Canis lupus familiaris: one gene and its partners. The protein of the gene in region 1 binds, or shares a complex with, the protein of each later gene. Links are inferred from orthologs where the notes say so. Each region holds a gene or a part of one and is shown in the gene's direction. Other genes may lie near its edges.

Region 1 (2,774 bases):
ACTTCACTTATGCATTCTCTGCTCAAGCCTTTCCCCTTCGGTGAAGACTCCCACCCACTTCCTTCAGGGTCTTCATTCCGGTTCAGTCCTTGGATTGAGCTACCTCTGAGTGCTTGCTTCTTCCCCCTTCACTACATTCTTAACAGCATTATTGTCTTCACCAGATTTAGTCCAAGAATAACCACATCTTTTTTATCAATATTATTGTTTCTAGAGAATAATTTAAAGGACAAAGTCTGCTTATGCTCCCCACCCCCCATCTCAAGTGACCACACCACTATTCCTTGGAGCACTAGTTCCTCAGTGCCTTATGGAAAAAGGTTCTACAGTCACATTTCTTTTGGAAATTCATACTATATAGGTAGCATAGTATCCCTTTATCTGAACATGGAATTCCTATCCCACAGAATCCTTTGGAGAATACCAGCTTTCCTTTACAAGATTCTAATATGCCACCATGCCTTCTGTCTGGGTCTCTATCACCAGGTTCCTAAATGTACCATACTAATCCCAGATTCCAAGATTTTTCCTCCTAGCATCCACTAGGTTATAAGGAACACTTCTAGGTTCCAGTTCAAGGCTTTTCCCATATTTTCATTTATACTGCTTCTTGTAAACCCCTCATTTTACCATTTAGCTATATATAGTGTACTATTTACTTACTAAACTATACCTCCTTCTCAGATATACCATCTTGCGTATAGCACTTAGGCATAATCGGGGTTTAGTAAATGTTACTTATGAGAGCTTGAAGACCATTAACTGAATTATGATTCAACCGAGGACACACAGAAATGTTTTTAAAAAAATGAGTAATTACCATGTGTAATGCTAAGTATAGACTTAAAAATGGAAATCCCCTTTATTAACAAGCAGAATGGCTCAGGCTCATTTACATAAATATGTTTACAACTAGGTAACTGATCCTAAGTTAGAAATAAGTAACCATAAAATATAATTAACAGTGTTTAACAGCCCTAACTTTTTAACTTTATGAAACAGACTAACTACTGCTGTTGATCTACCTCCTGAATTTATTCATCTTTATATATCAAATTGCATCTCTACTTGTGAACAAATTAAGGACAAATACATGCAGGTAAGTAACAGAAATTTTTGTAATTGTAAATTTTATAAATACCTGCCAAGAAAATGGATACACTAAAACTGGCTTTCTTTTTTTCAGAATCGTTTGGTTCGTCTTGTGTGTGTCTTTCTCCAGTCCTTGATCCGAAACAAAATTATTAATGTGCAGGACTTGTTTATAGAAGTGCAGGCATTCTGTATTGAATTCAGTAGGATACGAGAAGCTGCTGGCCTTTTCCGGTTGTTGAAGACATTGGATACTGGAGAAACACCTTCTGAGACCAAAATGTCAAAATAATACCTCATCAGAACCACCACGTTCCTTGTTCAGCTGTATTGTGACTTAATTTTTAAAAACTGTTAGAACCTTGAGTGGATTGCTTGGCCTAATGCATATAAACACCACTTTATCTACTTAAAGCAAAATTTTCCTTTCCTGGATGACTCACTCCTGGAGATGGATTTTTGGTAAGAACTTGGAAGTGTCTTACTGATGATTAGGAGTAAAGGTTATCCAAAAAATTCCTGCAAGACAGTAGATAAGGTCTTTAGCACTGTAGAGCAATGTTAAAACACAAGTTATAGGCTACCAATAAATCAAGAATCCAGTTTTCTTAAGGTTCTTATATTAAAGTATTTAATGAAAGTAAATGAAGACATTCTTAAGAATTTGTCATACTGCCCTTGAGGTGAAATCAGCTGAATGTTTTGGAATCAAGTGGCAAATAGAAGTTTGGTCCTTCAACCCATTTATGCATATAGTCCCCTATTTCTCATTAAGCACAGTCTGAACCAAGGACATGCTTCTAACAATCCTTTCTTGTCATGGGGACTTATTAGACAACAAAAGACATGCATTTCTTGGACCTCTTACAAACATGGGAACTCTTAGAAACCTTCTTTTAAGACTACAATAGTTGATATGGTTTTCTGGGGTTTTTTCCCCTTAAGATGTTTGTTCTTCAGTTATCAGTCTAAGATAGTTACTTTTTTGTTTTAAGGAAAACTATTAGTCCATGCTTTGGGAGATAGTATCACCACTGAGGAACTGTCATGTCAAATCTCTTCCTGAGTGGGAACTGTACCTGCTGCCTGTGATGGGGCAGATGGCATCGTGTGGGCTGTTATCCCTCATTTAACTTTGGACAACAGTGCCTTACATTAAAGTTTTTTATGAACTATATTATCTGATGTGTATTTTTTTACTTGAAGAAAATGAAAAATTAGTTTACTGAGGTTACTTTCAAAGCATATTCTTTCTAGGGAAATAATCAATTCAACAGGAGTTACCTTCCAGTTTAGCCCTCAGCAAAAGTTAAAGGGAAACCAAGCCTAGTGATTTTAAGAGGAACATAAATAAGTTCTAATCTTACAATATTGGCAAAACAGCAGTACTCTTAGTTCTTATGAAAGTAAGAGATTTGTAAATAACTTGCTTAAAGGAAATAACCCAAGCCAGTGTAACAGAGGAATGCCTTTAAACATACAAAATGCTAGCAACAACCTTGATTTCTCTCCATACCTAAAAGTAGACATCACTGTTTTACATACTTGGTTTGGGAAAAGAAACCGTTCATTATGCAGATACTTTTTTGGAATGGCGGAGTTGGGACCACTGTTGGAAGCAACCCAAACTCAGCTCCGGGACCTACTGATTCTCTGACAACCTCAAATTCATGGCCAACAGC
Region 2 (3,987 bases), on another chromosome or scaffold:
TAGGTGGACGGACGGCCATCCTTTCCCCATGCATGCCCCTCTAAAGAACGTTTGTTGGACGTCTCTCTCGGCCTAGACGGGGAACTTACTAGGGCCAGGGTGGGGCCGGATTCCTCTGTACAGTCTGGCTCCAGCACGGGGTCTCAGCCACCTGTCAGGAACGTGCCCCGAAGCAAGCACCATGCCCAGTGATCTCTGCTCGCCTTCCTCGCCACCTAAGGACAACAGCTTGATTTCTTTTTAAAAATATTTTATTTATTTATTCATGAGACAGAGACAGAGACAGAGAGAGAGAGGGGCAAGGGACAGGGGCAGCGGGAGAAGCAGGCTCCACGCAGGGAGCCCGACGTGGACTCGATCCCGGGGCTCCAGCATCACGGCCCGGGCTGCAGGCGGCGCTAACCCGCTGCGCCCCCCGGGCTGCCCGACAGCTCGGTTTCCGAAGGCAGACCTCGGGCTGGGGCTCTGGCTGGGACCCCTCCACCACAGCCTACTTACTGTACTGCGCGGCCCTGAATGGGCCGAAACGGGGCACGAGTTCATTTTTTCCTGCCCGTTCGAGGCAAGCAGCAGGCGGCTGCTCAGGACCGGAGGCCTCCTCGGGCAGGCCACGGCGGCGGCTGAAGTCAGGTCGCGGGCCGCCCCGCATTCCCACCAACGGACAGCGGAACGAGGGGAAGGAGGCGAGGAAACGGTGGGAAGACAGCACACAAAAGTGGACAGCCCGAGACCAGACCAGAAAGAGAGGACGGACGGCAAAACGGAGGGCAGTGGCGGGAGAGAGCAGGGACCCAGCGGGACAGAACACCGCGCGGGGCGGGAGCGGGCGGGAGCGGGCGGGAGCGGGCGGGAGCGGGGCCCCGGAGAGTGCCGGGCCGGCCCATCGCCGCGCAGCGCGGAGGGGCGCCGGGGGGCGGGGCTTGGGGAGCGACCCCCCCGCCGCACGGCGAATGGTCGCGCCCGGCAGCGGCGGCCAATGGGCGGCCGGGATGTTGGAGCGGCGGCGGCGGTCGGGGTGCTCGCTGGCTGGGGGACGGGGCCGCCGCCATGATGCTTGTTTGCTTTCAATGAAAACGAGGGGGGCGCGAAGGAGGCGGCGGCGGCGGCGGTGGAGGCGGCGTCGGCGGCGCGGAGGCGAGGGCGGCAGCGGGCGCAGCGCGGAGGGCGAGGCGGGAGGCCGAGAGGGCGGGAGGGCGTAGCGGTGGCCCGTCGGGGCGGCTGACGCGGTGGCGCTCGAAGGGGGAACAAAGAGCGGCGGCTGAGGCGGCGGCGGAGCGGCGGCGGCGCTGCAGCAGCGGGCGGGACTGGTATGGTGGTTCCACAGGTCAGACCCCGCTGCACTCACAGGGAGGAGGCGGCGGCAGCGGCGGAGGAAGGCGGCGCACCCCGAGAGGTGAGCACGGCGGGCCCGAGGCCCGGCCGGGCGCGCTCCCCGCACTGGCTGCGCGCGGGGCCCGCTCGGTCGCGGCGCGCGGGGCCACGGCGCGGGCGGTTTGAGTTGTGAGGCTGGCGAGCCCGCGGCTCGGCCGAAGCGGCGGCTGTCGGGGGCCTCCGAAGTGCGGCCGTGCTGATCCGGCCGGCTCCCAGGCCGCGCCCCCGCGCCCAGCCCGGGGGGCGGGGGGTGCTGATTGACGGCGGGGCGGGGCGGGGCGCGGGCGGGGCGCGGGCGGGGGCGGGGCGCGCCGGGGGCGGGGGCGGGGGCGGGGCGCGGGCGGCGAGCCGGGTGTCCGCGCCTCTCGGCCGGGATGGGTGGCAACTCTGGCGGAGTGGCCGTGTGGGATTGTGCGTCGTGGAGTGTGGAGCTTCGCGGTTACCGCAACGCGGTAAACCAGCGGTTGACCCCCTACCCCGAAAGTCTTTCGAATTCATCTGAACGCAGACTGGGGGGAAGTGGGCGGGAGTGACGGGGACCTGATTCAGAGGCCCTTACTTAGCCCCCGACGGAGAGATTCCTGGTATCGCTCAGAACTTACTGGAAGCAGTTTCCTCCCGTAACCCCAACCGCATGTCTCCCTTTTTATTTCTAAACACCAGTCGTTATTTTCTTTGGAAACTTTTTCTCTTTGACACTTTTCTCCCTCCCTTTCCCCCCAGAGAGCCTGCTAAGGAACACCTGTGATCTTTTCTTTAACTGTTCCCGCAGATGACAGCATTGTGCAGGTACCCTTGCTTGACCCATCTTGCGTGTACTGTGTTGAGCTGAGGTAATTTAAATAATCTGCTTGACTTTGAGTTCCCATACTTACTGTTTTCTAGGTGCGTTGTCTCATTAGTGCTAGTATGGAATTTCTTACATTCTTGTGTCTGGAAATTTCATTTTAGGGAGGAAGAGAGGGAGTATGAACTAGTGAAAAATAAAACGGCGGGTAATGGCACTGATTGTTTTTCACCGGACGCTAGGGTTTGCCATTCCAGAACAGTTCTGCAGGCTTTCCGGGCTGATGTGGTCATAGATCAAAAGGTTTTGAAGATTTTCTTTGTAATTGCTGTCAGAACAGTTGTCACAGTCTTCAGAATGTGATGTCTGTTAGAGTTAAAATTGCTTCATATTTTTTTGACCAGTGATCTAGTCTAGTCAACATGCTTTAAACAAAATATTTGAAAAGCTATGACTGTGGAAACAGACCTAGAAAGGTTCAAGTGACGTGGCCAACGTGCTTGCAGTGAAGAGGGAAAGCACATGAGTCTATGTGGTATTTGCTGGAGATTAGTTCTTTTGGGAGGGCAGAAGGTGTTTTAATGGGTAGAAATTATTTGTGGTAGTTGTGTCTCTTCAGTTTGCAGTTAAACAAGATACTAAAGTAGTCAAAACAAGAATGGAATAGAAGACAAGTTTTCTTGTGAGACTGAGAAGATTTGCTCTGAGAGTTGATACGTGCATAGTTTCAGAAGTGTCTCAGTGGTAATGTTGATGAAGAAGCCCTTTGTTTTTTTTTTTTTAATTTTTTTTTTTTATTTATTTATGATAGTCACATCAGAGAGAGAGAGAGAGGCAGAGACACAGGCAGAGGGAGAAGCAGGCAGGCTCCATGCACCGGGAGCCCGACGTGGGATTCGATCCCGGGTCTCCAGGATCGCGCCCTGGGCCAAAGGCAGGCGCTAAACCGCTGCACCCCCCAGGGATCCCTGAAGAAGCCCTTTGAATACATACTTGGTTTGTAGGTGTTTTCAGGTTTCTTAAATCTTGGTGGCAAATTGAACCTACAATTTTTGTGAAATTTCAGACTGTTTTTTTTTTTTTTTTTTTTTTAAATTTCAGACTGTTAAGTTGATTATAGAACTTGGTCCTTGCTGCAGATAAAGGCATTAAAGGAATTTGCCCACTGTACTTGTAGTGATAAATTCACATTTCGGTCAGTGCTTAGGCATTCCACTAGGTACATGTTAACCTTCTTACGTTGTTTGAAGCATAAGCGTTTTTCATATCCTAGTGCAATGAAAGGCATAATGTATGTAAGGCATACTGGAATAAATGGTCAGTGGTGCTCACAGCTGTAGACCTTGGGTCATAAGGGCAAGAGACCAATATTTGCACACTGGCAACTTCCCCATATGCAGAGTAGACTGGTTGGGAAGCCCTTCCTTTTTTTCTTTTTTTAAGATTTTATTTATTTATTCTTGAGAAACACATAGAGTCAGAGACATAGACAGAGGGAGAAGCAGACTCCCTGTGGACTCCATCCCAGGATCAACCACTGAGCTACTCATGAGCCCCTGAGAAGCTCTGCTTTTAAAGTGTTTATCGCTTTGGAAAGGTCCAAATAGGTTCAGCTAAGGACATGTATTTTAATGCAGAAAAGGCTTGGATTTGTAGGTATGCAGTGCTTGTATACGCTTTATTGTTGTGAATGGAACTTAACGTTATTGTCTAGAAAAATGTTCCAATTTCAGTGTTAATCCTTAGCTTCCATCTTGATGTACTTGTTTCCTTAAACTTGGCTGCTACTCACTTTACCAAGGTAGCCATTTTACAACAAAGTGTGATTA
Region 3 (4,287 bases), on another chromosome or scaffold:
CACACGTAGTTGTACCGCGAGAAGGGAGAATCAGGCGATGAGTAGGACGGGGATGATGGCGGAGCGTCAGAGGTTCCTCAGTTTACCTTTCGCGACACAACTTCCAGGTGTTTTGCGTTGAACCAACCAACCAACCAACCAACCAACCAACCAACCAACAAAAACGCCCCATCGGAGATGTCAGGAAACCTTCTCCTTCCGTCACTTCACCTCACCTCACCTCCCCTCCCCTCACCTCACCTCCCCTCACCTGACGTCTCGTTAGCTCCCGAGCAGCGCTTCCCGCTCAGGCCGCCTCAGGCCTGCGAGCGGCAAACGGCGCCGCGTCCGGCAGGAACACCGGGTGAGGAGGGTTCGCCGGCCTCCTCCGCAGCATGGCTCTGTGGACGTGGACGTGTGACGCCCCGCCAGTCCCCCCAGCTCCGCCGGCCGCTCGAGCCAAGAAAAGAGAGTAAAAAAGCGATAAGGGCAAAGGAGAAGACGGGTGAGCGCCCTGGCAGCCACGCGCGCAGGCGCGCCACGGCCCGCGGCGGGACCGGGGACCGGGGACCGGGGGGCGGGGCCGAGGCGCGGCGCTGGAGCTCCGCCCCCTCCCCGCCCCGCCCCTCCCCTCCCCTCCCTCCCTCCCTCCCTCCTCTCCCCTCCCCCTCCCGCTCGCGCTCCCGCTCGCGCTCGCGCAGGGGAGTGTCTGAGCGCCGCCAGCCCCTCCACGTCAATCAACCCTCCTCCTCCTCCTCCTCCTCCTCCTCCTCCTCCTCCTCCTCCTCGCACTCTCCGCACCTTGTTATTAATCCCAATTCCGACCTCGCGCGGACGCCTCTCCCCGGCCCTCGGGGTTGTGAACGTGGGAGCGGGAGCGAAGGCACCGAAGGCACCGGAGCCTGGCGTCCCCGAGCGGCGGCGGCGGCAGCCTCGGGCCCGGCAGCGGCAGGCGCAGCAGCAAGCCCCGCGGCGGCAGCAGCCCCGGCGCCCGGAGGCCAAGGCCAAGGCCGGGCTCCGCGCCGCCCTCGGAGTAGCAGCCGCGGCGTGGGAGGGAGCTCGCTGCGGCGCTGGGCCGTCGCGTCGGGGGCCGCGGCCGCGGGGCCTCTCCTGGGCGCCCGGGGTCACCGTCCCGCCCCCCGCCCCCCGCCCGCCTGCCCGCTCCCGTCGGCCGCCCTCTCCGCCGCCGCCCCTGCCGTCCCTCAGGCGGCCCGGCCCGGCCCGCCCGCCCCGCGTCCCCTCCGGCCGGTGCCTCTCCCCCCGGCGGGCTGCCTGCATGTCTTTGCTGCCCTCAGCCCCGCCGCCACCGCCGCCGCCGCCTCCCCCGCCGCCGCAGCCCCAGCACCAGCAGCAGCCGCCCCGCCGCCGCCGCCGCCGCCGCCGCCCGGACCCCGGCGCGCTGAATGCAGGTGAGGGGGGGCGCGGGCCCTGCCGGTGGCGGCGGCGGCGCTGCGCGGCGCGGCGCGGCGGGGCGGGCGGGAGCGAGGCCCGCCCGTGGGTGTTTGTGTTTGCGTCTGCGGCCGCGGCCCGGAGGGAAGCATCTGTGGGGCCGGGCGCGCGCGCCGCCGTGTCTCCCCTGCCGCGGGGAAATGGCTGCTGTTGCTCCGCCTGGGCCGGAGGAAGAGAATGAGGTAGAGTGTCTGCGCCTCGGAGGAGGGTCGATGTGGGGGACACGGAAGCGTCCCCGGGAGGTGAGGTGGGAGAGCGACGAGCGTGCGTGAGGCTGTGCGAGGTGAGGCTGTGGCGGGCGGGGAGGCGGCCCGGGGACCCGGGGCCAGTGGGCGTGTGTGGGGCCGGCGCTGGCGGCCCCGGGGTGCGGGGCGGGTTCCGTGTGTCCGGGACCCCCGAGGGGCGCCCCTCCCCCGCCCCCCCGTTCCCCTCCCCCCTCTGTGGGCGCCGCGCGGGTGAAGCTGCTCGGCCGCGGCGGGCCCCGACCGGGCCGGGCCGGACCGGGGACGCGAGTGTGTGCGCCGCCCGCGCGCGGCAGCCCAGGCCGGCTGAGCTGCGGGTCGGGGCCGCGCCGCTGCTCCCGGGCCCGGCAGGAAGCGCGCCGGCCTGCAGCGCGGCCTAACCGCCTCGGCGCCCGCCCGCCCGCCTCCCGGACGCCTCCCGGACGCCTCCCGGACGCCTCCCGGACGCCCCGGCCCGCGAGCACCCGGGGCGCTGCCTCGGGCCTGGGCAGGTGAGGAGGGTCGGAGGCGGGACGCGCGCACCGCCGTCGCCTCGGCCGCCTCCGCGTCTGCTGAGGAGAGAGGCGAAGGCTTATTTTGGCTCTGGAGCTGCAGGCTCTGCCCCTCCGGGCGGCGGGACCCGAGGGAAAGAGACTCAGAGCGGTGAATCTCGGGAACACTGGCTGCGGATGGAGATCCCTTCGCCCCGTCCCTCCGCGAAGGCCCGGTGGACGGACTGTGTACACGTTTTCAGTTTTCGTCGCACATATTTTCTCGTGGGGGACATGAGTGCGATTTTTAAGATAAATTTTTTTTTTTTTCCCCCCCCGAGACGCGAGGGAAGAAATGGAAGCTGGCTTTCCTGTCCTGCGGTGTTGGTGGCATTGGATCGATTTTGTGCGTTTGAAATCGTTTTATCCTGCCTCCTAGGGGAAAGGCGTGCACACGCGGAACTGAGGAGGTTGGTGAGGAAGAGGAAGTTACTGTAGCTGTCATCGTCCCTAACTCGGCCTAGTTATCTTAGGCTGTTGAGATGGATTGTGTTCAGGGAGTTTAGCTGAGCCGTTTGTACACGTTGGAAGCACAGTATTACATTTTACTGCCTTACTGCTTCTACTTATCTATATTGCCGATCAGGATAGTCACGTACAAACAAACACGTCTCATGCACAATCTCCAAAACCTAGGTCAAGGAGCCTTTATGTTGTCTACCCAGGGTGTGTGTGTGCTCCGGGGAAGCTATTTTTGAGAGTGGTCTAAGCAAAGCGGAACTATGAAGATAAATCTGCCAATAGGTGTGCAGTGCGTTGTAGACCCAAATATAAATGGTATTTGAATGATTTATTTGCTTTACTCCGCCCTCCTTCCGTTTGCATTTCGTAAGCTCATCTAGCTGAGACCCTGTGGATGAAGTCCTGATACAGATTTGATCCTTGCAGACCATGCTCTGTATGATGGCCGGGTAGCCCTGTTTCTAAAACTGGTCTCACAAATGTTCCAGGCCGTGCACTGGGAACAAGAGTGGAGGGAAGAATAGGAGTGGAGAGCTGTTTTCTGGGACCACTGCTGGAAAAACAACATGTGTAGTTGAGTGGAAAAAGGACTTGTTTTACCTCAGAACTCTGGCTGTGCCATTTTTCTTAGCTGTTTGACCTTAGCAAGTTACCGAATGTCTGTAAGTCTCTGTTTTTTTTTTTTTTTTTTTTTTCCATTTGTAACGAGGAGATACCTTTATAGTAAGGTTGTCCTGAGGGTGGAATGAAAAAACATGTTTGGCACATAGTAGAGGCTTAGTTAAATATTCCTCCCGCAGCCCTGATTGTGGGCATTGAAAAACATGTGTAAGGACAAATACCCATTTGATAACTGAGAGCAATATTGTGTAATTGTAGGTTAAAAATCAAGGCAGTAGAACATTTCAGAGTCCTTTGATAATATATAAGGTATATATAAACTTTTAATGTTTTTTATGTCTTTCCTAGAAATAAGACTGTCATTAAAGTGGCCTAGTATATTAGTTTATAGAGACTGTCTAGTCATACTTTTTTTCCTCTGTATTTTTGAATAGGCCATCTCTCAGTTTTACTACTTTTATGATTCTGGCTATGTAGTCCTGGAAAAAATTGTACTGTATATAGCACATATACATTCCAATACAATCAAGCATTAAAATGGATCAAGAAACGAGAGTTTAGATTACTTTAACAGATTCATAAAGCATAAGTGCCAAAAAATTGCTATGTAATTCTTTGAGTTCATGTTGACTGATTTGGTAAACAAAAACTTCTTGGAATACATTCTTGGATGGTTTAGGGAAAAATCCTCAATCAACTTTGAATAGTTTTCCATTTTTATTACTCTCTGTGGAGTAGTGAATGTGCTGTTCATTTATTTTTAATTGTGGTGGAGAAAAAAAAATGATGATACAGAGTTTAAGGTAAAGGCAATGGAAAGGTTAAAGAAGGATTTTTTTTTCTTTTCTATCTTTTTAAAAATTATTTTGGTGAAGGCAGGATGAAGAGAATGTGAGGAGTTTCATTGGGTTAAGTTTGTAGTATGTCCATTTACTAAAGCCAGGTTTCCAAATTAGGCCTTATTTTTATTTATATCAGCAATGGTAAGCTTAAAAAAAAAAGAC

Evidence for each region. Proteins that work in one complex are often made in the same cells at the same time.
Region 2: CNOT11 (region 1) and CNOT6 share a complex: the UniProt entries of both Homo sapiens proteins name them as parts of the CCR4-NOT complex. The link is inferred for Canis lupus familiaris from reciprocal best matches to the Homo sapiens genes CNOT11 and CNOT6.
Region 3: CNOT11 (region 1) and CNOT6L share a complex: the UniProt entries of both Homo sapiens proteins name them as parts of the CCR4-NOT complex. The link is inferred for Canis lupus familiaris from reciprocal best matches to the Homo sapiens genes CNOT11 and CNOT6L.

Annotation. Positions count from the first base shown.
Region 1 is NC_049231.1:42,707,146-42,709,919, reverse strand, and holds the end of CNOT11 (CCR4-NOT transcription complex subunit 11), read left to right. Parts: intron 1-1,002; coding exon 1,003-1,099; intron 1,100-1,186; coding exon 1,187-1,384; 3' UTR 1,385-2,269; downstream 2,270-2,774. UniProt on the Homo sapiens protein: Component of the CCR4-NOT complex which is one of the major cellular mRNA deadenylases and is linked to various cellular processes including bulk mRNA degradation, miRNA-mediated repression, translational repression during translational initiation and general transcription regulation.
Region 2 is NC_049232.1:1,536,555-1,540,541, reverse strand, and holds the start of CNOT6 (CCR4-NOT transcription complex subunit 6), read left to right. Parts: upstream 1-1,187; 5' UTR 1,188-1,393; exon of another isoform or gene 1,394-1,462; intron 1,463-2,094; exon of another isoform or gene 2,095-2,204; intron 2,205-3,030; exon of another isoform or gene 3,031-3,158; intron 3,159-3,987. UniProt on the Homo sapiens protein: Poly(A) nuclease with 3'-5' RNase activity.
Region 3 is NC_049253.1:37,892,085-37,896,371, forward strand, and holds the start of CNOT6L (CCR4-NOT transcription complex subunit 6-like), read left to right. Parts: upstream 1-1,487; 5' UTR 1,488-1,605; coding exon 1,606-1,610; intron 1,611-1,651; exon of another isoform or gene 1,652-1,670; intron 1,671-1,683; exon of another isoform or gene 1,684-1,711; intron 1,712-2,588; exon of another isoform or gene 2,589-2,610; intron 2,611-4,287. UniProt on the Homo sapiens protein: Has 3'-5' poly(A) exoribonuclease activity for synthetic poly(A) RNA substrate.